Linked DNA regions of Pelodiscus sinensis. The protein of the gene in region 2 interacts with the protein of the main gene of each other region in a pairwise test. Links are inferred from orthologs where the notes say so. Each region holds a gene or a part of one and is shown on either strand. Other genes may lie near its edges.

The links.
Region 1: the proteins of ACY3 (region 2) and PMM2 interact in binary tests that used the Homo sapiens proteins (3 or more experiments, as listed by UniProt). The two-hybrid records come from large-scale screens. The link is inferred for Pelodiscus sinensis from reciprocal best matches to the Homo sapiens genes ACY3 and PMM2.

What each region holds. Positions count from the first base shown.
Region 1 is NC_134726.1:10,772,347-10,784,931, forward strand, and holds the start of PMM2 (phosphomannomutase 2), read left to right. Parts: upstream 1-7,811; 5' UTR 7,812-7,881; coding exon 7,882-7,950; intron 7,951-8,634; coding exon 8,635-8,746; intron 8,747-10,896; coding exon 10,897-10,973; intron 10,974-12,161; coding exon 12,162-12,253; intron 12,254-12,585. Other genes in the region: TMEM186 (transmembrane protein 186), read right to left, coding at 6,654-7,382, 7,675-7,677. UniProt on the Homo sapiens protein: Involved in the synthesis of the GDP-mannose and dolichol-phosphate-mannose required for a number of critical mannosyl transfer reactions.
Region 2 is NC_134714.1:126,718,989-126,730,961, reverse strand, and holds the start of ACY3 (N-acyl-aromatic-L-amino acid amidohydrolase (carboxylate-forming)), read right to left. Parts: upstream 5,338-11,973; 5' UTR 5,323-5,337; coding exon 5,141-5,322; intron 1-5,140. UniProt on the Homo sapiens protein: Plays an important role in deacetylating mercapturic acids in kidney proximal tubules. Also acts on N-acetyl-aromatic amino acids.

The DNA.
Region 1 (12,585 bases), on a different chromosome or scaffold from region 2:
ACTTGGAGGATTGATGAATAACTGTACAGTGAAACCTCATTATCACAGTCCTAGTAGGCATAAGAAAAAAGTCAAATTAAGAAGATCCTCATTTGACATTTTGGGAATTGGGTCATTCAACATATCAGTGCAGTAGATATTAGTAAATGTCTCTAGCAAGTCTTGTACTTTTACAGAATCAAAGGTCCAGTGATGAAGTCTTACCATGTCCTCACTTTTATTATAAATACTCTAGGTGTTTTTATAACTCTTACTGACACTCAGTAATTGTGTAAAATTGTGCACTATGTATGTCGATCAGATTATTAGAAAATATACACAGAGAGCACTGCAGCATAAGCATAATAAAGTAATATTGTTTACAGCATATTGTGGAGAGTGCCAAATAAATGTTTAAACAAAAATACCCACCTACACCTCATGATGTAACTGTTAACAATGTACATGAATCTATGAACTAAATAAATTTCCTGTGTAATCAGTATTCTTAAATAAAATATTTATAATTGAACTCCTTGTAGCTCTTTTTAAATAAAAATATACATTCGTAAATGTTATGCTCACTATATAGCTTTGTATTTTTGTACACTCTTTGGAGGTACACTCTTTGGAAGATTGTTCTGTATACACCATGGCTGTGCCTAGACTGGCCAGTTTTTCCGGAAAATCAGCCGCTTTTCCAGAAAAACTTGCCAGCTGTCTACACTGGCTGCTTGAATTTCCGCAAAAGCACTGACTTCCTACTGTAAGAAATCAATGCTTCTTGCAGAAATACTATTCTGCTCCCGTTCAGGCAAAAGTCCCTTTTGCGCAAAGCTTTTGTGCAAAAGAGCCAGTGTAGACAGCTCAGATTTGTTTTCCGCAAAAAAGCCCCGATCGCGAAAATGGCGATCGGGGCTTTTTTGCGGAAAAGCGCGTCTAGATTGGCACAGACGCTTTTCCGCAAAAAGTGGCTTTTGCGGAAAAGCGTCCGTGCCAATCTAGACACTCTGTTCTGAAAATGCTTTTAACGGAAAACTTTTCCATTAAAAGCATTTCCCGAAAATCATGACAATCTAGACACCGCCCATAAGTCAAGAGGAAGCACAAGCAAACATTAGGAATGCAAAATCCTGTTTAATCAGTTACCTGGTTAAACATTATATTTAACCAGTTAATTGCTTAAACAGGGTCATGTGGCCAACCCATAGCAGGCTGTTCTGGCCTGATTGGGCACACCACACCATGGACTAAGGATATTAAATATTGGTTAATTGAATAGCTGATTAACCTCATCAGTTCTTATCGGTTACTTGACTATTCTATAGTCCCTGGGGATGAGACCCACAGCCAGTACACTCTGGCCCCACTCCTGAGGAGCTCCCTGCCACTCTGCGCTACTGCCTCTGGATTAGAGGCAGCAGCATGGGGTGCCAGGCAGGAGCTGGTCCACAAGGGTGGCCTGTTTAAAAACCAGCTTTCCTTGCAGACTGGCTGCCAATCACCCCGTGCTGTGTGATACAAAGGCAGCAGTCTGGGGTGGCAGCAGCCCCATAGGACTGGGGGGGCTGAGCTCCCAGATCCAGCTCGAACCAGAACTGAACTGGGCTGCCTGGTTCCTAATACACTTTAAATGCAGAGCTGCAGCAAGAGTAGGTTCTGGACCTAGCATAAGCCAGGACTGAGCCGGGCTGTTGGCCAACCTGCCAGAAAGTTTTCTGGTGGGGAGGGAATACGTGTACTCTATATACTTGTAGTCTATGCTTTTGCTTATCAGTTAATTGATTAACCGACTATACTATTACATCCCGACTGTGGATGGGTCAGGAGCTGCTACAGCCCAGCCGGGCCAACAGTTAACTAGTAACTACCACTCAATAAATCGACATCACTAGCCAACACAACTACTTCATCATTTCCTTTTGCTTTACTGCACCAGCACTGGGTTCAGCCAAACCATAGGGATGTAAACTCCCCCTATTTGCTTTGCATTAGTAGCCTGCAAATCAGGGTAAGTCTGAGTGATGTATTTGGATGGTAGCGATTCTCCCTCTGCAACACAAAAAAGGAGATAAGGGCTAGATATGGAAACTACTCTGAAAATTATAGCTAATTCTTCCATGTAAGTGAACATTGAGAGCTGAATTATTTGCCACTGTACCAGGTTTGCTACATGGAGTAAAAATGCATGAAAATAGAAAATGCTGTAAGAGTTTGATTTCAGCACTTTCAGAACAACTCAACATTTCTATCATGTATTTGTGATAGAAATGTTAGTGTTACAATTTATGCCTTTTCGTGTATCTGGCTTTGATTTATACTCCTTGAGCGAGCACTTTTCAGATTATTATTCCTTCTCGGAACAAGGAGTCTTACCATCAGCTGATTAAGCGTCACAACATGCCACCAAGGTAAAGACACTTACAGGTGTGGAGGGTGCATTTAAAAAAAAAATCTAATGAAGTAACCATATAGATAGGAATACTGAGGCCTGGCATTCAAATATCAAACAGCATTCACAGTGTCACAAGAACATTTTATTCCAAACTCCTATTCCTCTACTGTAGACATGCTTCAGACCTCTGGGATCACAGTACAGTAATGAACAAAAGTCCTAGCAGGACTTCATAGGACTGGTTTGAGAGTACCCTGGAGAATGCTTTGTTACTCCTACAAGCAGAAGCAAAGTTTACTTTTTTGCACGTCATGATACTGTGACTGCAGCATATAATCCATTTGACTGAATGGGGCAGGGCTACACTTCCATCTTTTTAAGGAATAACTATCCTTCCTAGCTTGAGACATAACCGAGCTCTGATCTGACTAATGCACTAACAGTGTGTAGCTATCACATCTTTGTTTCACTGTCTCCAACATTTTTAACCACAAGATCGCTTTTTCTATTTAACTGTGACCTCAAACCCAAATACCCTCGCCCGTTTCCGCCCTGGCCCTTCTTTGAGGCCCCGCCCCTGTTCCACCCCTTCTCCAAGACCTCACCCTGCTCACTCCATTCCCCTTCCTTCCCCCATTCTCACTTACTTATGCCAGGCTGGAGCAGGGAATTGGGGTGCAGGCTCTGGTCTTGAGCCAAAGAGTTTGGAGTGTGGGAGGGGCATTGGGATCTAGGGGGGGTTTCAGGGTACAAGCTGTGGGAAGGAGTGCAGGGGGACTCACATCTGAGGCAGGAGGTTGGGTGTAGGAGAAGGTTCAGGGCTGGGACGGGTTCAGCTGGCTCTGCATCACTCCTGAAAGCATCTGGCATGTACAGCAATGGCTCCATGGTGCCATGTGCTGCTCCTTATCTACAGGCCCTGAGCCCACAGCTTCTACTGGCCAGTTCCCCGTTATTGATCACTGCAGACACCATTCCTGCAGCTCCCATTGAAGGACAGCATGTAGAGCTTGCTCCAGCCATGACAGGTTAGGCATTTTAGAACTCAATCAAAAATTACATTTAAGTGTAAGAAATGAAAATTATGAAGTGCACAGACCCAAAATAACCCACTTTGCAAGTAGTAGAAGTAACAACTCCCCACTTTTTGTTGGGTCAGGAGATGAGAGTGAAGAACAGTGTGTGTTTGTGACAATGACAGACACACAGCGTGTGTGACAGATTTGCATTGCCAAGCTCCCTCTGTCCCCTTCTCTGTGTGTGGAGTTAGGGTACAGGAGTGGGGGTAAGAGGGACATCCTGAAATCAGCACTCCCCTCTTCTTCCTACCACACCATGCACAGCAAGCAGGAGGCTTCCAGGGGGGCAGCTCCAAAGCAGAGAGCAGGAGCAGCATGACAGTGGGTGGAGGGACAACTGAAGAGCCAGCACTTGATAGCTTTTTGGACAAACCAGTCAGGATCACCTGTCAGAGGCTCCAAGATCTACCAGTAGATCCTGATCTACTGGTTGGTGACCACTGCTCTAAGTAATCCTCCCTCCTGGCCACTTGGCTTGTGTCCTTTCAGTTGCCTCATACCATGCGTCTTTGTTGCCACCCCTCCCCAAAGTCTTCCTCAACCTTCACATTTTGGCAGCCATCTTTAAGCAGCTACCTCTAGCAGATAGCTGAAAATGTTATTCACATCCCTGTCTGTAGCTGCAAAAAATGAGATGCGGATATCTACATCCATATCTGCAGTTTTGCAAGGCTCGGTATACAGAGGGTTTTGAGGGCCTGCACAAATTCTAAAACTGAAGCTTCCTATTCCCCCCCCCCCCCAAAAAACAAAACAAAACAAAATACGCCTTCCAAAAAGCTTTCCACTGAGGGCAGGGAGAATGATCCTGCCCCACATTCACCTCAGAGCAGGGTTAACAGGAACAAATATCAGTAAGTGATGTTGTAACCTGATACATTAGCATGCAACACCACTAAGTTTGGGCTCTCACACAGAATCCTAGGCAAACTGCCCGCTTTATCCCATCCTGAGGAGCCCTGAGTCCATGTTTTATCCATATCCAGGCCTGCTTCTCATTATGGAGCAAATCTTGCTTATGATGAGGACATCTTTGAAAAGGAAAGGATTACCTGAGTCCCCACCCACAGCCATGGAATAGTAGAGCTGTTGTCCTCAGTTGGTAGGAAGGAAAGTAAAGGATTTGAAGAGTGATTCCTCCAGCCTTCCCAAGTGTGCACAGCTATTCAAGTAGTTGTGTGAGAGAATGGGCAAAAATGCCCTCTGTGGCTGTGTCTAGACTGCAGGTCTAGACTGGGTGCTCTCTTTCGAAAAAGCGGCTTGCTTTTTCGAAAGTACTGGTTGCAGTCTAGACACTTTTTCGAAAGGATCTTTCGAAAAACCCTCTTTCGAAAGAGGCTTGCATTCTAGACGTAGCCTGAGAGACTGCCAAAAGAAAAAACACACATAGGCTGCGTCTAGACTGGCACGATTTTGCGCAAATACTTTTAACTGAAAAGTTTTTCCATTAAAAGTATTTGCGCAAGGGACTGTCTACACTGGCACAGTTGCTTTTGCATAAAAGCATCCGTGCCAATGTAGATGCTCTCTTGTGCAAGAAAGCTCCAATGGCCATTTTAGCCATCAGGCTTTCTTGAGCAAGAAATTAAGCTGGCTGCCTATGCTGGCCCTCTTGCGCAAGAATACTTGCGCAAGAGGGCTTATCCCTGAGCGGGAGCATCGGAGTGTTTGCGCAAGAACCTCTGATTTTGTACATTACAAAGTCAGTGTTCTTGCACAAATACTCGCAGCCAGTGTAGATAGGTGGCAAGATTTTGCGCAAAAGTAGCCACTTTTGCGCAAAATCTTGCCAGTTTAGATGCAGCCATACTACTTCTGTAATCAGAACATTCTATAGCTGGAGAGGTGTTAGGCAAGATTTTCTCCTGTGAACTTTCATAATGCTATATGAACTGGTGCAGCTTTAAACAACTCCCTCGGTACAATAAGATTTGCTTGTGTTGACATTGTATGTCATCATGTGATAATAAAGGTAACCATTACACTTATTAAAATGCATACTGTGCTTTATAAATCTGCTGCATTACATGTCATTCTACAGCAATAAGCAACGTGAGAACTGAAGTCAGTTAGCACTTCATACAACTTTTTTTTAATTTGTGAAAAGTACAATCTACAGTACACAATCAAAACTAAGTCCGGTCAATGGAAGGATATTTTGAACTGATGTGCCATTTAGTTCCTTTGTGGGCACAGTTGCTGTTTAAAAATAACCATTTCCCTGCTGTCTTTGCAACCCAAATATTAAAATATTATGCCTAAGAAAATGAATGAGTTTCAATTTGTTAAATTGAAAAAAAAATCCAAATCAATCATAAGCACTGAAAATGCTTAAAATTCTTATTTACAATAACCTTAGATAGTGCCTGTAGCTCAGGGTAAGAAAATGTTTTTCAAGCTTCTGCAAATCTGTAATATACTTCTGTTCAGAATTTATCCTTTTCTCTATGTACACAAGTTAAAATGCCACAAGCCATTGCTGAATGCTGGACAAATCTTACTCTGAATCCCACTGACACTAAGTTTTGATCTGACAGAAGAATTGCTACAAAAAGTGAGAGGCATAGTTCCCGGTTACTGCTAGCCAAGGTCACAAGTGAGCAAGCGGTTCCACCTCATGACCATTTCTTGCACTAGTATAATCCTTACTTTGCAGTTCTACAGGAATAATTTGCAATTTCAATAACTTACTAACTTTACATGTTAATAGAAATTAAAATTTTCTTGATCAAAATTTGACAAATTGAAAGTGAAGTCTCACAAGAGATAGTAAAAATGCTGCTGTGGTTTCTATGGTTCTCTCTGATAGCAAGTTACATTTGCTCAGTTTTACCAATAAATTATTTTTAGCTGCTATCCTAGTCTGAAAGCACCATAAAAAAATACCCCACTACCTGCTAGCTCAACTGCACATTCAGGTGAACCAATTTTAAGTGCAAGTTACCAGACATGAGTATTATACTAGCTTTATTTACATAATAGTTGTGTGTGTGCAATGAGATTCAGCTTTCATCTGAAATTACTACACAGAAACTTCTGTCTAGTGGTTACTACATCAAGGTATGCCCTTTGTATAAACACAGGTGTGCATGCTGGCTGAGGATTTGTACGAAAAAAGGATGGTAATATTCCGGATTTGAGTATTTATACATCTATTAAACTATGCTCTGAATTCAGCATGAAGATCAATGGAAAATGTATTAGTAATATCCTCCAAATATTTGGTCAAACCTCTGTTTATCTACAATATGGCCAAACTTTAGAGTAAAATATAAAATGTGTGTACTATTATGCTGTTTAAACTGAAGCAGTACTTCGTTCTTGGCATCTCCAGTGTCACCCAAGGGCATCACAGTTTCAATTGGACAATAAATGACTTTCTTTTGACCCCAAAATGTCAAATGTGCCACTTTTACCATAGTGCCAACATCATTTAAGTATATCAGTCCAATCATTCGTCTGAAAAAATAACTTGTACCATACAGCATTGCAGCAGCAAAGCAAGCAATGCCAGTGACATACAACAGAAAATCCTGAGAAACTTGTTCCTGCAGATAGAGGTGATAGACTGGAGGGAGGGTGACTACGGTCAGAGCAGTCTGTAACAACTTCATTCTTGAAAATATTCGACAATATTTAATTCCTGGGAATTTGTAGACCAGTTTGAACTGTTCCGTGTCCTGGCTCGCAGGCTTTTCCGAGCCTCGGTTGGTGGGGGTTAAGCTACCGGCACATCTGTACTGTGCCAGCCCCGCCCGAGGATTGCCCGCTCGCCACCGCGGAGCCTGTAAGAACACAGGGGTCCCAAGCCAACGGGGGCGGCACCTGTCTCCTCTCTGCCACAGTCTGGCCGAAGGCTCCCGCGGCAAGGCGCGCCCACAGGGAGGCAGCGCGGAGCGGAGGCGAGTGCTGGTTTTGAAGACCGCGGCCTACAAGAGAAGGTTTCATGCCCGGTCTTCACACCTCGCACCGGCAGCCCCGCCCAGCGCGGGGCCCAGCCCGCCTGAAGCCGCAGCCCAACCTCGCCCCAAGGCAACGGGGAGCCCTCGCGCGCCGAGCGCCGGCCCGGGCCTGAGGCGCCCCCAGCACTAACACCGCGGCCAGGGAAGCGCGGCGCCCTCCTGCCCGCCCGCGCGCGCTGTACAGCGCCGAGCCCCGCCTCCGGGTGCCGCCCCCACCCGCCGTGGCACGAGCCGCGCGCCCAGCTAGGCCCGGCCTTACCATCCCGAGACAGAGACGTGGATCCAGGACCCAAGTGCCACCGCGCCTGCGCGGCGCTCGCGGGCCGCGTACGTCGGAGCTGCTGCGTTGCACCGTGGGAGGGGCCCGCAGGTGCCTTTCAGTCGAGCTGTTGGGCTCCCGGCATCCCCCGCGGCTGGGTCGCGCAGACCCGGAAGAGAGTGAGGCGCCCTCTCATTCATCCGCAGCATGGCGGCGCCGGGCAGCAGCGTCCTCTGCCTCTTCGACGTGGACGGGACCCTGACCGCGCCCCGGCAGGTGGGCCCAGGGCCGGGGGCGAGCGGGTGGAGCGCGTTGCGGCGGGAGGGACCCTGGGCTGCCAGAGCGGGCGGTTGCTGCCCGGCCGCCGGGCACGGAGAGCAGAGAGCCCCGCGAAGCCGCCGGGCTGTGTCCCCACGCAGGGGCTCTGGGGAGCTGCGGCCGGTCGCGTGCAGGGGGTGCCCGCTGGCCGTTGAGGGAGCTGGGGGCGGAGCCTGTTGCTGGCGTTTGGGGGGGACCTGGAACTTCCCTGGTTCTCGGGCTCAAGGAGCAGCGTTGCCACCTGTTAACCTGCGTGATCTGCGCGAGCCGCTCCCTCGCGCACGGGCGTTGCGCCGACTTACTGATGCCCCTGGGCTCCGGGTGGGGAGGGGCTGGCTCCGTGGGGGGCTTGTCCCCGAAGGCTCATCACAAGCCACTGCGGGTTTTTAACGTTTAGCAGTAGGGAGAACACTCCATTAGCGAGCCGGAGGCTATAGTGACTTCCTTGTTGTTTAAGGGATTTTGCCTTCCGGGAATATTTTCTCATAGACATTTTTAAAATTTTTCTTATATCGCTTCTTAAAACCCTGCAGAGTTTAGTTCTCAGTGACCTTTCTCCCACTGCACTGTATTTTAATTCAACTGGTACTCATGGTAAAAGTAGTTAACTACCTTAAAATATAAACTGTTTATTTAATCTAGAAAATCACAGCAGAAATGGCAGAATTTCTGCAGAAGCTACGAAAGAAGGTGAAAGTTGGAGTTGTAGGTGGTTCAGACTTTGAAAAAATTCAAGAGCAGCTGGGAGATGATGGTAAGAAAAAAAAAGATGTAGCAATCCAAGTTGAAACGAATTCCTTATGAGGAAGTTCTGATGGGTAAATACAATCCCTTTCTCCCAGAGTTGGTCACGTCATTTTTCATTAAATGCAAACTTCCTTATTCTGAATATGTTTCTCTGATTTTACTATATTACGCCGATTTCATGAAATGTTAGTTAAGATATATTTTAACAATCTTTATAAAATGGAGTTGTTTGTATCTCATTACATAGTTTATCTAATGTGCTCATCCACGCAAGAGCTGATTTTTATTAAATAGTGCCTTTGAGATCTGGTTCTTTCCCTTTTTTAACTCTGTGTAAGGTTTTTAATGTGAAAGATCAGTATTAATTGCCTTTCATAATTCACAATTATGCATTCCCAATATATACTGACAAACATTTTATATAATCATGGTTTTACTTGGCCTGGAAATGGCCTTCCGAAGTCATCTGATTTTTAGTTAGCAAGAGCCAGATACCCCCAAATCATCTCCAGCAGTATTACAATTATTGCAGATGTTCAAATAAGGATGTGATTTCACAGCTTTTCTTGAAGCAGAATATTTAGAATATGCCACAACTGATCCTATAGTGGTTTTTTTTTTACTTGAATCCCAAGGCTGAGTTTTAGTTTCAGTAGACGTATTATACAACTTGTAGAACAATAAATAGTAGTATTGTACATTAGGAATGTAACATTCCGATTAATCAGCTAATCAGGTAGTGGATATAATTTCCATCGATTAGCCTGTAAGGGGGGGCACTTGCTAACCTGTTGCATTTCAAAGGCAGAGGTGCAGTGGAGAACCTGTGCGAACAAAGACCGAATCAGTCCCCGCTCATGTGGGGTCCCGAGTGCTGCACCTGTCCCTTTGAAATGTGCAAGAGCCACCCATAGCCCTTGAACATTTCAAAGGGAGAGGCACAGCAGTCGGGACCCGCAGGAAGGGACTCTGCTGTTTCCCCTGCTGTGCCTCTGCCTCTCTTCAGCACTGGCTCCTGTTTCCCTCCTTCCCTTGCTGCAGAGGCAGCAAGGGAAGAGGAGCAAGTCGTGACTCGACTACCTGATAAGCCTATGCTTATCAGGTAGTCAACTAGTCACTTACATCCCTATTGTACATTTTCCTATTGAAACATAGTCCGTGGCACAGAAGAAGCCATTTGGATTTATCATTTTGGAACCATATTTTTGTCTCCTAATTCTACTTACATATTTCAAAGGAGACTTGATCCTGTAATTCAGTTTAAAACACACACATTTTTATCAAGTAGAATTGCATTAAAATAATCTCCCTCAAATAGTAAACTTTTCTTTGTCCTCTTATTGATTTTTATGTCCAGATTGTTGTTCCAAGGTTTTGCAATGGTGACTGGATCCATGGCAATTTACAACAGGGGTCGGCAATAATTTTTTCAGGAGGGGCACTTCATAAATTTTGGTATGTGGTGATAGGCTGGTTCCAGGGGCCCCTGGAAGCGGTGGAGTCTTGGGTGGAAGGGGTTGAGGTGGGGCTACAGAAAGAGACATTTTGTGTGAGAGAGACTGTGTGACAGATTGTGGCACAGACTGGGTGTGTGTGACAGTGACACAGAGCATGTGTGCTCGCTAAATTTCTGAGCAGCCACGCTCTGTCTCTTTAAGGAAATCTGTCTTGTCTCTCTTCCCCCTTCTGCTCTCCTCTGAATCACGCTTTAGAATGGAGCAGCTCTGCTGATTGAGTGTGTTATTCTACCCCTGCTCTGCAGAGACAAGGTACAGGGGCAGGGAGACAGCCTGACTTCAGCACTTCCCTCGCCCCTCCACCTGAGTTTGCCCACCCCTGGTTTACAATAGTAAAGCACAACTAAATGTGCTAAGGATAGAGTCAGATCCTTCATGCTAAATGTATGTAACTTAACTACTTGCTATTCTCATGGTGTAAGATCCCAGTGGCTTCAGAAGGAGGAACAAATAGAAATTGCAGAATTAGGTCCTTTAAGTTTTTCATCAGACATTACAAGTGTATAGCTTCTGCTTAATATTCTAAAATTATTATTATTCTAAAATTATTATATTTTGATGTATTTAGTACTGAAAAGGTTTGCATACAATGAAGGAAAGACAAGATATAAACTGCAGCATTTTTTGTTTGTGTTTTTAGTTGTTGAAAAGTTTGACTACATCTTTCCAGAAAATGGTCTAGTCTCATACAAAGATGGGGTGTTGTTGTGCAAGCAGGTATGTTTAATAGATCTTATAAACTAATTGATTATTGTAAGGCTAAAATCTTTCAAACAAGATTTTTATTCTCATAATTCTGCATGGAGAATTGCCTGTCTTGTTTTGCAGCTGCAGTGATCATTTAATAGTCTGAAATTATTGCTTTATATATAGAATTTTATTTGTACAATTGACAGTCCATCTCCTCTCTTAAATCTATAGATTGACGCAAGATGTAGAGCCAGATCCTTACCTCAGACCTCCTGGTTTGCCCTGCTCAAAACCTGGTAGATTTGACTAGAGAATTTTTCCAGCACGTAAAATTCCTGAGTGACATCTTTCCTACTCTCTGGCATGGGGGTCATGGCTGGAGACCTCTAGTGATGCCCACTCATGGAATTTCTATAACAATTGGGCCTCATTTAGAACACCTTTGAGGCTACTCTAAATTATAGCTGGTCCTTCACAGGCCTGAGACTTGGGAAGTGGAAAGGGTGGCTTAAAGCCATCTCCTTTCCTTGACCACCAGTGGAATGTACCCCCACTGCTGCTTAGGAGCTAGCACATAGGGTGGCCTTGATTGAGTAGAGTATTTTTATAAGCTGCTAGAAATAATTTAAGAGGCTGAGAAAATACTGGTGATTAAATCTAATATTGTGATAATCTTCAGTGCCTCAATTTAGCTATTGGAGAATGGAAAATAAAATAGCTCAGGACCTGACCCATATCTTAAGGTACCGGTTCCCAACTTATTTGGCAACTGTTTCCCGCACTTAATTAAGCTGTACTAGCCCCTATCTACTCCTTTCCATTTCAGCATGCATTTTCTAACCCACAGTGTGAAGTAGGGGCATGGAGGAGCATGTTATACTGAGAGATAGTGTTCGTGTAAGCTGAGTGCAGATCGCTCAAAGTGCCCACAGTCGGTAACATGTGTTTCTATTGGTAGTACAAAAAACAAAAATTATTCCACACATGGATTAGAGGGAACATTCGTGAGAAGTGGTCAGTTGTGCAGCATAGCATTTTATAATTAAGGTAGAGAACGGGAGCCTACAGTACCAGTACTGCACATACACTGAGAACCACGTACTTAAGACCTGGTTTTCTGGCATCTGCTATACACGAGAATCTAAAACCTGTATTGTCAATAAGTTACTTTCAGAATTCTGGATCTATAGTTGATATGTCTTTTTGTATGTTTAGAGCATTCAGAGTCATCTGGGTGAGGACTTGCTCCAAGATCTAATCAACTACTGTCTGAGTTACATTGCGAAGATTAAACTGCCAAAGAAAAGGTAGGTATATGTGCATGCATAACTTAGGGAAGAGAGTATTCCTGCTTTGGGGTATTGATCTTCAGTAGGGAAGACACTGTCCAGTCATGTTACAAATGAATGGATTGTGTTTGAGTACATACTGTATAATTGAGAGAGATGTATGCTATTGTTCAGCAATCCCATACAGAAAAAGACAAGCTCCACTATTGGAGCAAGTGAAGGATCATGGGTAAAGATTATGCAACGTTGCTCAACAGGGAATTGTTTATTCTCCATAAAACAAATTGTAATATAAAAATCTAGATGGACAGAACATTGGGTGCTCATTGGGATACCTCTTATTTTTATTC
Region 2 (11,973 bases):
ATCTTGTGACAATGAGTTCCACAGGCCAATTGGGCATGGTGTGCACCAGCAATGTCAAACTTGAAGCCTACTGAGGACCACACAAGTGAAAACTGATAGCTCACAGGGCCGCCTCAAGTTCCCACCTGGTTATAATACCAAAAAAAAAGGGGGGGGGGGACGACTTTGTTGGAAAGTCGGCTATTTATTATAGATTACATTTTATCTATTTTATAATCTTGCAATAATTTTATGTGTAAAATTGTGTTTTGTTCATATTAAATTAATTTTAATATGAGAGGGGACATGATCGCAGTTTTCAGGTATCTAAAAGGGTGTCATAAGGAGGAGGGAGAAAACTTGTTCATCTTGGCCTTTGAGGATAGAACAAGAAGCAATGGGCTTAAACTGAAGCAAGGGAGGTTTAGGTTGGACATTAGGAAAAAGTTTCTAACTGTCAGGCTGGTCAAACACTGGAATAAATTGCCCAAGGAGGTTGTGGAATCTCCATCTGTGGAGATATTTAAGAGTAGGTTGGATAAATGTCTATCAGGGATGGTCTAGACAGTACTGGGTCCTGCCATGAGGGCAGGGGACTGGATTCGATGACCTCTCGAGGTCCCTTCCAGTCCTAGTGTTCTATGGTTCTATGAATTTAAAATTTAAATATAAATTTAAGGTACTTTTAAATGTTGTGTATGATACATAACTTGTTTTGTTGAAATAAAAACAAGTATAGTCAGTGGTTAATCTTGCCTTTCAGTTGATAACACAGTTCCCATTTGTCCTGGAAAACACGGTGCTTGTCTTCAATCTTCCTTTTTATAGATTTACTACTTTCCCATTTTGATAGTGACATTGCGAAGTCACTATCAAAAAAGTAGAAAAAGCTAACAATGAAAAAAAAAACCCTTTAAAAATACTGTAACATTCTCACAGTAAAAAAAATCACCCCACTATGTATTTTAAATGTAACACTTCTGCCCTATTACATCTTGTGAGTTTTTTAAACTTAAGCTGAACTGGGAAGTATATTAGCACAATTGTTTCACTCCAGCTTGTTGGTTTCCTCATTTTGTTTACTTGAGAAGATTATGGCTTTTTTATAGTTCTAAAAATTCAGGTTTGTCCCAAATGGTCCCAAACAATAAGGGAGAGATTCATATATCAGAATAATTGCTTCAGCCTGGCAAACTATAGCCTTTGAATTTCCTTGAAAGAAACACAGTGTAAACCAGGTACATGCTGATTTTTTTTTTTTTTTTGCCCTGGAATTTAAATATGACATCTTATTCTGCATCCATGTCCTCCTCCCACCCCAGCTCTGTCTATTTATCCCCAGGATTACCAAAACAAATCGAGTGGCTTGAAAAGCTGGCCTTTATGCTATCCTTAGGATTTCTTAACTATGCATGTTCAAAGGTACACGTAATATTCTTACACAGATAATCCATGCAAAACTGACAAGTTAATTGCCCTTTGGCTGACTGATGTAAAAGTGCTTATTTATTAGCAATATTGGTAGGCCCTGGTTACCCTCGACTGGCTGGTACTTCTTAGATATAAAACTGGATATGTTCATTTTCCTTTTTTATCTTTAAAGCAGATGTCATTGGAGCCAAATGGGTATCCTTCAGAAATTGGAAACCCATCCCAAGTAAAGTCTATAGAGCAGAACATGAAATAAGGATAGGTAAAATGTAAGATAGATATCAGGTTTGCAAAGTGGGAATTGATGAGCAAACAGCCAAAACATTACAAAAATATTTGTTTCTAAGAAGCAGGAAGTCTATGAGGGTATGTCTACACTACAAAGTTAGTTCGAACTAATGGACGTTAGTTCGAAGTAACTTTAATAGGCGCTACACTAGCGCTCCGCTAGTTCGAATTTAATTCGAACTAGCAGAGCGCTTAGTTCGAACTAGGAAAACCTCATTTTACGAGGATTAAGCCTAGCTCGAACTAGCAAGTTCGAATTAAGGGCTGTGTAGCCCCTTAATTCGAACTAGTGGGAGGCTAGCCCTCCCCAGGTTTCCCTGGTGGCCACTCTGGCCAACACCAGGGAAACTCGTCTGCCCCCTTCCCGGCCCCGGACCCCTTAAAGGGGCACGGGCTGGCTACGGTGCCCGTGCCAGGTGCAAGCCTGCCAGCACCCAGCCAGCAGACCCTGCACCTGGCACGGATTGAGCCACCCACCTGATGCCCCCCAGCCCTCTGCCTCTTCCCAGGACCAGGCTGGTGGCTCCCGGGACCTTGCCCGGGACCGCAAGAGGCGGGCACACGCCTGGGCTAGTGCGGACATCGTGGACCTCGTCCACGACCTCCGCACTAGGCACAGGAAAGTGGCCGTCTAGGGCAGGAGAGCTGTCAGCCTGGCCACCCAGGAGCAGGTGTGCATGAAAATCAAGATGGTCCACTGAAACCCCCGACCCTGAGCCCTGAGCTTACAATGGCCATCCTGGGTCAGACCAAAGGTCCATCTAGCCCAGTAGCCTGTCTGCCAACAGCGGCCGACCCTAGGGACCCTGGAGGGGATGGACCGAAGACAGTGACCAAGCCATTTGTCTCGTGCCATCCCTCTCCAGCCTTCCACAAACCTTGGGCAGGGACACCACTCCTACCCCCTGGCTAATAGCACTCCATGGACCCAACCTCCATGACCTGATCTCACTTCCCTTTAAACTCTGTTCTCGTTGTAGCCTTCACAGCCTCCTGCAGCAAGGAGTTCCACAGGTTGACTCTTTGCTTTGTGAAGAACAACTTTCTGTTACTAGTTTGAAGCCTGCTACCCATTCCTTTCCTTTGGTGTCCTCTAGTCCTTCTTTATGGGAACTAATGAAGAACTTTTCTGTATGCACCCTCTCCACCCAACTCCTGCTTTTAGAGACCTCTATCCTGTTCCCCCTCCGTCTTCTCTTTTCTAAGCTGAAAAGTCCCAGTCTCTTTAGCCTCTCTTCATATGGGATCTGTTCCCAACCCCTGATCATTTTAGTTGCCCTCCCCTCTCCCACCCTCTCTCTTCCCCTCTCCCACCTCCTTTTCCCAGTTTCCCCCAGTTTTGTTCAATAAAGACAGATTCCATTTTTAACACAATTGTCCTTTATTTTGTACATCAAGAAGAGGGGCTAGGGAAGGGTAAGTGGAAGGAGGTGAGGGAGGAATGGGGCACGAGCCCCCAATGGGGAGGACTGGGCTGGCTCTGCGGGCTTCTGGGGGTGGAAGCTCTCCTGCAACCCCCCAATTTCCCCCACTCTCAGATGGCAGCCTGCGGCAAGTGCAGCCGGGCTGATGGCCGAGTGCTGTGATGTGCCCAGTGTGGGTAGTCCGGGCACTCCAAGCCAGGACTGCTTTGCAAGCGGGAAACCCCTGAGAACTGTCTGTCCGGGGTGGGGGTCGGGACCCTTTAAGCACAGCCCTCTGCTAGCCTGAGACAGCATCTCCACACTCTAAGTCCTCCTCTGATGCCCTGCCGGCACTGCTTCCGGCCATCCTTAAGCATGGTTCAGGGTCCACTCTGTGTGGACATGCTAGTTCGAATTAGCAAAACGTTAATTCAAACTAGTTTTTTAGTCTGGATCCGTTAGTTCGAATTAGCTTAGTTCGAATTAACGTTGTAGTGTAGACGTACCCTGAGAGACATTGTTGAGTCTGCTAGACTAGCAGTGAGTAAACAGAAAATTAAAGGAAAATAAAGACATTGCAAAGAAGCTAAGTTATTTCCTTCCTGCAGAAACTGTTCCTCAACTTCTGTGGATGTATTTAAGATGAGACAGCTAGAACAAAGTGATAAATCTAAGAGCAACAGGTGCAGATGAAATGACTCATGGGTTTGGAAGAAATTTCCGAATGAACTAGGTGAGCTACTCATGAAGTTAAGCAATCTCATCAAAATAAGTTCTTTCCCAGAGGACTGGGGAGTGGCGAATATTGTTTCTATCTTAAAAGCACTAGGAATGTATCCTGGAATTTAAAAAAAAAGAGTATGGTCTTGAATACCAGGACCAATGGTTGAAACCATATTTTAAAAAAGCAGAATAATTAACACTTTGAAAAATGTGAAAAGGGAGTCATTAGCATTGCTGCTGCAATGGAAGACAGATCCAATTTTCCTTTCCTTTTGACCAGTTTCACACAAAAAAGAGAACATTTGCTTAATGTGTAATAGACACATTAAAAAGAGAAGAGGGAGAGTGAAATCCTTAAGGAACGGAAATAACACTGAAAGTATTGTAATGCCATTAAAAAGATTAATGAGTCACCCTCACCTGGCTTCGTTGAATCTCTTTTTACATTTACTTAAATGACAACACATTTAATATTGATGGAAGGAAACTTTTTACCCAATTCATCTGTGGAACTCACTGCCATTAAATAGCCGCAAGGTCAAAAGTTTGTAAGATTTTTTTTAAAGGATAAAGGCTTATTGATAATGAGAACATCTAAAATACCATAGGTAGGATAAACAACAGATTAAAACCCATGTTTCAGGTCATGTTTCAAAATGATGGGAGTAAAGAAACAACATTCCCTATCCGGGGATAACTGTCGACTATAGTTTCTTGTGGACATGTGCGAGCACACTCATACCCCATCCTGTGACATCTTGTATTGGCCACTTTTGTACCTAGAGTACTGGACTAGACAAGAGGATCCCATTGGCTGATTTGGCAATGCCTACATTCCAAGGAAATCATATGACAAATATTAACACAGTAGTACAGTTAGGTTCTTAACACTCAGGGAAGATGAAAATTAAACTGAGAACCACAAATCAGTCCCTTGTGGGTGTATATATTATAGTCCTCTTGATTCTATTCCATTCGAGGGAAAAAACCTGTATGCTGTCATATTATCTGAGAAACAGTACATGACATCATGCAAATAACACTTAATTGTATGCTTGTACAAGGGGAAGAGTAGAAGAGCTGTGGTCCAGTGCCGCCTCTTCCCCAGAGCCAAGGACTTCCAGCCCCCTCCTAACCTAATGCCTACCCCTTTCCCCAGAGGCAGGAACTTCCAGGCCCCCCGCCCCCAACCTAATGCTTCCCTCCTCCCCCAGAGCCAAGGATTTCCAGCTCCTCCTAATCTAATGCCTCCTCCCTTCCTAGAGGCAGACACCTCCCAACCTAATGCATCCCACCTCCCCCAGAGACAGGCATACCTCAGCCCCCCACAACTTAATGCCTGGATTCTGGAACCACCGTCGTCACATTGCTGTTGCTGCCACTGCCACGCTTCCTTAGGCGCTGGGGTAGTGAGAGTAAGCAGCCAGCTGGCTGTGATCACATGCTGCGGGCCCTGCGCACAGTGGCTGGTTGGCTGTGACCACGTGCTGGGGGCCATGCGCAGAGCTGCCCAGCCGGCGTCACCTGCACTCAGTCACGTGCTCCACGCGGCCAGCGGGCCGCACTTCCGTCTGTCTGAAAATGCACTGGCGGGCCCCAAAAAACTTCAATGGGGCCACATGCGGCCCTCCAGATGCCAGTTTGACATGCCTGGCGGTGTACACAAATCCTTGCTTTGATCAGCCTGGCTCCATTCCACCGAGCGCCCCCTTCTTTTTGCCAGGTGCTGGGGAGGGGACACTGAGCGAAATAGAGAAATGTTCCCGCCAAAGGCAGAGCCCGAGACTGCTGACCACTCACCTCTCAGGTTGTTGATAAAGACCCCCGCGCTGATCCTGTCCACTGCCAGTCAAGGCCCCCAATAACCCTCTCTCTTGGGGCACCCAGGTGCGAGAAGCTGCTCTGGGTCCAAGCCACGGAGCCCTTGTTTAATATTTACCTCCCACAGTCAGGAGTTGGGTGAATTATTTCCCTTGGCAGGCAGTGACCTCTGCCCAAAGACCTGCTGCACCCATAGTGCTGGTGGGGGGCAACCCTTCCCCAGATCACAGGCGTTTTGGGGAGGGCAGGTGCTGGATGTACAGTCCCTAGGAAATGAAGCCCAACGCTTGGGAAGCTTGGGGGGCAGTGACTGGGTTTCTCTGGCTCCACCATAGCCTAGCATGCAAGGGACAGCTCCCCAGTGGGTGCACATGGGTATCACGCCATTTATATCTCTTGAGGTCCAGGCCCCACATGCTTATTAGAAGCCTGCCCACATCTCTCAGCTTCCCTCCTGTGCCCCCCGGCCTCACAGGGAGATAAGGGGATCGGCAGGAGCTGGTGGAAGAGAGAGGAAGTCCCTGCAAGCTAGATTCCAGCCCCTGCTGTTCCTGCCCAGCCCAGCTGCTGCCTACAGGCCCCTTTGCTGCTCCACTCTTGTCTCCCCCACCACACCCAGCTCTTCTAATGCAGCTCAGCTGCGCCACTGCCATCCAAGCGCCGCCCCGCCCCCCTGCAGCTGTGCCAATGCCCCTCCATCCTGATTCACAGCCGCCCTGCAACTCCAGCTCCAAGCTCCCCCCCTCTGCTGAAGCCCTTCCCTCCTGACCCCCCCTAGCTCACCCTCCCCCCTGCTCTCACAGCCCTGCCCCCTCCCAGCTCTGTGGCTCCTCCTGACTCCTGCCCAGCTCCCCCCTCACTTTCCTAGCCCCAAATCCCTTTGTGTTACACTTCCTCAGAGCTTCTGAGGAACAAACCCAGACAAGGAGGGGTGGGCCTGGAGCAGTATGGCTTCTGGGGCTGTTTATTGGCACAGATTCTTAAGAGTCAAGTGATACTCACACAGGGTACGTCTACACTACAGCGCTAGTTCGAACTAACTTAGTTCGAATTAGTTAATTCGAACTAAGCTAGTTCGAACTAACGCATCTAGAACTAAAAACTAGTTCGAACTAGCGTTTTGCTAGTTCGAACTAGTAAGTCCACATTGAGTGGACTCTGAACAGGGCTTAAGGATGGCCGGAAGCAGTGCCGGCAGGGCATAAAAGGAGGACTTAGAGCATGGAGATACTGTCTCAGGCTAGCCGAGGGCTGCGCTTAAAGGGTCCCGACCCCCACCCCGGACACACAGTTCTAAGGGGTGCCCCGCTTGCAAAGAAGTTCTGGCTTGGAGTGCCCTGAGTGCCCACACTGGGCACATCACACCACTCGGCCATCAGCCCGGCTGCACTTGCCGCAGGCTGCCATCTGGGGAGAGGGAGTAATTGGGGGGCTGCAGGAGAGCTTCCACCCCCAGAAGCCCGCAGAGCCAGCCCAGTCCTCCCCATCGGGGGCTCGTACCCCATTCCTCCCTCACCTCCTTCCACTTGCCCTTCCCTAGCCCCCCTTCTTATTGATGTACAAAATAAAGATAACGTTTCTTCCAACATTGACTCTGTCTTTATTGAAAAAAACTGGGGGAGACTGGGAAAAGGAGGTGGGAGAGGGGAAGAGAAAGGCTGGGAGAGGGGAGGGCAACTAACATGATCAGGGGTTGGGAACAGGTCCCAGATGAAGAGAGGCTACAGAGACTGGGACTGTTCAGCTTAGAAAAGAGGAGATGGAGCGGGGACAGGATAGAGGTCTCTAAAAGCAGGGGTTGGGTGGAGAGGGTGCATTCAGAAAAGTTCTTCATGAGTTCCCATAAAGAAGGACTAGAGGACACCAAAGGAAAGGACTGGGTAGCAGGCTTGAAACTAGTAAGAGAAAGTTGTTGTTCTTCACAAAGCAAATAGTTAACCTGTGGAACTCCTTGCTGCAGGAGGCTGTGAAGGCTAGAACTAGAACAGAGTTGAAAGGGAAGTGAGATCAAGTGATGGAGGTTGGGTCCATGGAGTCCTATTAGCCAGAGGGTAGGAGTGGTGTCCCTGCCCAAAGTTTGTGGAAGGCTGGAGAGGGATGGCACGAGACAAATGGCTTGGTCATTGTCTTCGGTCCATCCCCTCCAGGGTCCCTAGGGTTGGCCGCTGTTGGCAGACAGGCTACTGGGCTAGATGGACCTTTGGTCTGACCCAGGACGGCCATTGTAAGCTCAGGGCTCAGGGTCGGGGGTCTCAGTGGACCCCCTTGATTTTCATGCACACCTGGTCCTGGGTGGCCAGGCTGGCAGCTCTCCTGCCCTAGCCGGCCACTTTCCTGTGCCTAGTGCGGAGATCGTGGACGAGGTCCACGATGTCCGCACTAGCCCAGGAAGGTGCCCGCCTCTTGCGGTCCAGGGCAAGCTCCCGGGAGCCGCCAGCCTGGTCCCGGCAAGAGGGGGTGGGCTGGGGGGCATCGGGTGGGTGGCTCTGTGCCGTGCCAGGTGCAGGGTCTGCTAGCTGGGTGCTGGCAGGCTTGCACCTGGCACGGGCACCGTAGCCAGCCCGTGCCCCTTTAAGGGGTCCGGGGCCGGGAGGGGGGCATAGAGTTTCCCTGGTGTTGGCCAGAGTGGCCACCAGGGAAACCTGGGGAGGGCTAGCCTCCCACTAGTTCGAACTAAAGGGCTACACAGCCCTTAGTTCGAACTAGCTAGTTCGAACTAGGCGTTAGTCCTCGTAAAATGAGGTTTACCTAGTTCGAACTAAGCGCTCCGCTAGTTCGATTCAAATTCGAACTAGCGAAGCGCTAGTGTAGCGCATAGGAAAGTTAGTTCGAACTAACGTCCGTTAGTTCGAACTAACTTTCTAGTGTAGACATACCCACACTCACACATATCACAGTCATGCTGGCAGTCTGGAGACAGGCTGCCAAGTGCCGTGTAGATTACTTCAGATTTCGCTGGTGGCTGGAGTGCTGGACAGGTGACCGCTTCCTGGAGACTCGGCCATGTCCCAGGTTTCTGCTGTGATGTTACATTTTGGCCAAGAGCGAGGGAGAGATTTTCTGGCTGCGTGTCCATTAATGTATCTGCTCGCAGGGTCTTTGTCTGCCTGAAAAGATCATGGATCCTCAACTGCCTTTTTGGTTGGGTATTTCTCATTCACACTTCACACACAGTGCACAGGTTCCATAAGCAATATGGTTTCTAAGCAGAGTGGTGTAGCAATATCGTTTTTCTGTAACCATGTTGGAAGGCCTGTAGCCATATTGGTAGGCATGAACTAAAGCCTTCTTCTACAGCCAGAGTGGAGAGCAGCAGCCATTAGCTGGAAAGCCTGGAGTCATAACCTCACATTCCATCTAAATTGCATTAAAATAGTGTCACACTAGGCTGTGAAAAGGCGACCTTGTCCTAATGGCCCCCATTGTCACCAGATAAAGAAAACAGATCTCAAGATGGGCAAAGAAAACTTAATTAACAGCATTTCGTCTGGCAAGAAACTGCTTATCAATAGTTGTGGTTGTGGAATCCTCATTCTTTGATTATTGGCCTCACATTTTCCTATTGTTTGTCTGTGTGATCTCTGTCCGGTTTGTAACCATTTCTGTCTGCTGTATAATTAATTTTGCTAGGTGTAAATCAACCAAGATGGTGGGGTATGATTGGTTAGGTAATTCTGTTACAGTATGTTATAATCACACAAAAATCATTGGTGAAGGCAGTGTTTCCCAATTCTATTTGGCCACGGAACCCTTTTAAACTTGAAAGAATTTTGCGGAACTCCCAATAACAATCTAATATATGGACAACAACGCTGAGTAGTGACATCATCGTCCCCACTCTCTGGCTAAGCTGGCATTACACAGGGGCACTTATCGTGGCAAACACAAATGAAAATTGTTTTCAATAAAATTCATAAATGCTTAAATATGAATTATTTTTAAATCATAAAATGTTATTGTAAAGGAATTTTCTCGCGGAACCCTTATTTTCGCTTCATGGAACCCCGGGGTTCTGCAGAAGACCATTTGGGAAACACTGGGTTAAGGTGTAGCTAAGCAGGACTCAGGCGTCACTATATAAACTGGGGTCCAAGAAGGAGATCAGCAAGAAGAGCACAAGTAATAGAAGCAGAAGGAAAGAAAGGAACACCAAGAGGAAGGGGGAAGACCTGGAAAAAGAACTCACCTCCAAGATCAGAGGCCTAAGATCAGAGCTGCCAGGACTCTCCTACACAACCATGACATGCAGCAGCTAAGATCCAGAGAGACTGACCTTGCCTGGCCAACAGGGGAAGTCTGCCTGCCTGTATCAGGATTGGTGAGCATGACAGTGTGTGCTTAGCATGTATATTCTGCTTGCTTGGGAATTGTCAATAAATAGAGGATAAAGATATTACTGAGTGAGGCTCTTTCAGTGGCTACAGATCCTGCAAAACCTGCAGGAAGTTCCGCCCTGAGCCCTCGGAATTAGGTAAGGGTGGGTGTGTAAATTAACAGGGTTGCACCTTCAGTCCTAGGAACTAGGTAAAGGTGTGTGTCCCTACAGTGTGGAAGCGTTAGAGAAATTTGTGCAGGTAACAGTGGGGTCTCATAGCGTTGAATGCAAGAAATTGCATTGTAACATACCAAAGGCATGATAAAGAGCGTAACTAATTATAACTAGGAAAGCCGAGGTCAGAGAAGAAGGGAAAAGCAGAGGAGTATGTCTTGTCAGCTAGACACCAGTGAAGAGGAGGGAGGGGTGTTGTCTGACTGGTTACACTTTGCAGGGTGGGAGCAGCACTAAGCTGGCTGTGAGGGGCGGACATGTTTCCTCTCCCTGCCTCCGGCATGCAGACAAGCCAGGCAGGAACTGAGTAGCAGCTGCCAAGAGACAGCCCAAGGCAGCAAGTCTAAGGGCCCCAAGGGCATGGACAACCCTGAGGGCTGCAATGGGTGGGGAAGGGGGAGGGCAAACTATCCATGAGCTTGATGGGCACTGGGCAAGTGTCTAGAACCAGACCAGTGCTCTGGCCTTGTCTGCTTCACCGGGGACCATTGCTCAGCTCCTGCCTTGCACAGCCCTGGCACCGGTCACCTTCCCACACTGCACCTCTTCCAACCCAGGGCCTGCGCTGAATGTGCAACTGGGACCCTTTCCAGTCTCTTCCATCTCCCCGGCCCTGTGACCCCAGCCCCACAGCTGCTGAGGGCTACTGCGGGCCCTGCCTTTCCTTGACACCTGGGCGTAACATAAGACCGTAAGAGCAGCCATATTGGGTCAGACCAAAGGTCCATCTAGCCCAGTGTCCTGGCTTCTGACTGGCCAATGCCAGGTGTCCCAGAGGGAATGAACAGAACAGGGAACCATCAAGCGATCCATCCCCCATCATCCATTTCCAGTCTCTGACAAACAGAGGATAGGGACACCATTCCTACCCATCCTGGCTAATAAGTATAGATGGACCTAACCTCCATGAATTTATCTAGTTCTTTTTTGGACCCTGTTAAAGTCGTGGTCTTCACAACATCCTCTGGCAGGGAGTACCACAGGTTGACTTTCTCTTCACACCTCAGTCTCCCTCTTTTCACCCATACTGAGAGCACCAAAGACGCTGAAGAACTGGAGAGGGTGCTGGGAAGAGCCGTGGACACGCTCTGAGCACAGAGAAAATGCCCGAGAATGAGAATGGAAGAGCTCTATGGGGTTAGCTTATTGCGTAGATTAAGATCAAGCAGCGGGGCGTCTTAGTGACAGTGTATCAGCACCTCCCTGGGCAAAAATACCAGCTTCTCTCTGAGCAGAGACTAGGCATGCAGGAGCCAAAGGGTTGGCTCTGAAGGCAGACACGTTCTGACTAGACACAAGGCCTGGCTTTAACCGTGAGGGTGGTTAACCATCGGAACAGGCTGGTGGTGGATTCTCTTTCTATTGGAGGCTTCAAAACCAGCCTGGAGGCCTTCCCGAATGGTGCTGTAGCCAAAGGCAAGCGATGGGGCTCCGCACAGGGGTAAATGGGTCACAGTCTCTGGCCTGTGCTATGCAAAAGGTCAAGCTGGAAGGTCTGATGCTCCTCAGCGAGCTGCGTGACAGGCACAAAGCACGAGACGGGCTATTTTTTAAAGCTGGTATATTTAGTTTTGTGGAGGCTGCGTTATTCCCAACCTGCGCCGTCCCCCCATTGCCTCCCAGCATCTGCGAGCTCTCGGTTCCCCATTTAATGTCGTCGCAGATGGAAGCTGGGAAGCTGCGGCGTGGAAGTGAAAATGCTGAGCTTGGGGATCAGGCAAATGCCAGCTTGTACGAGGCCCACCCCTCTGCCCCCGAGGGCCTCAGCCCAGCAGGAAG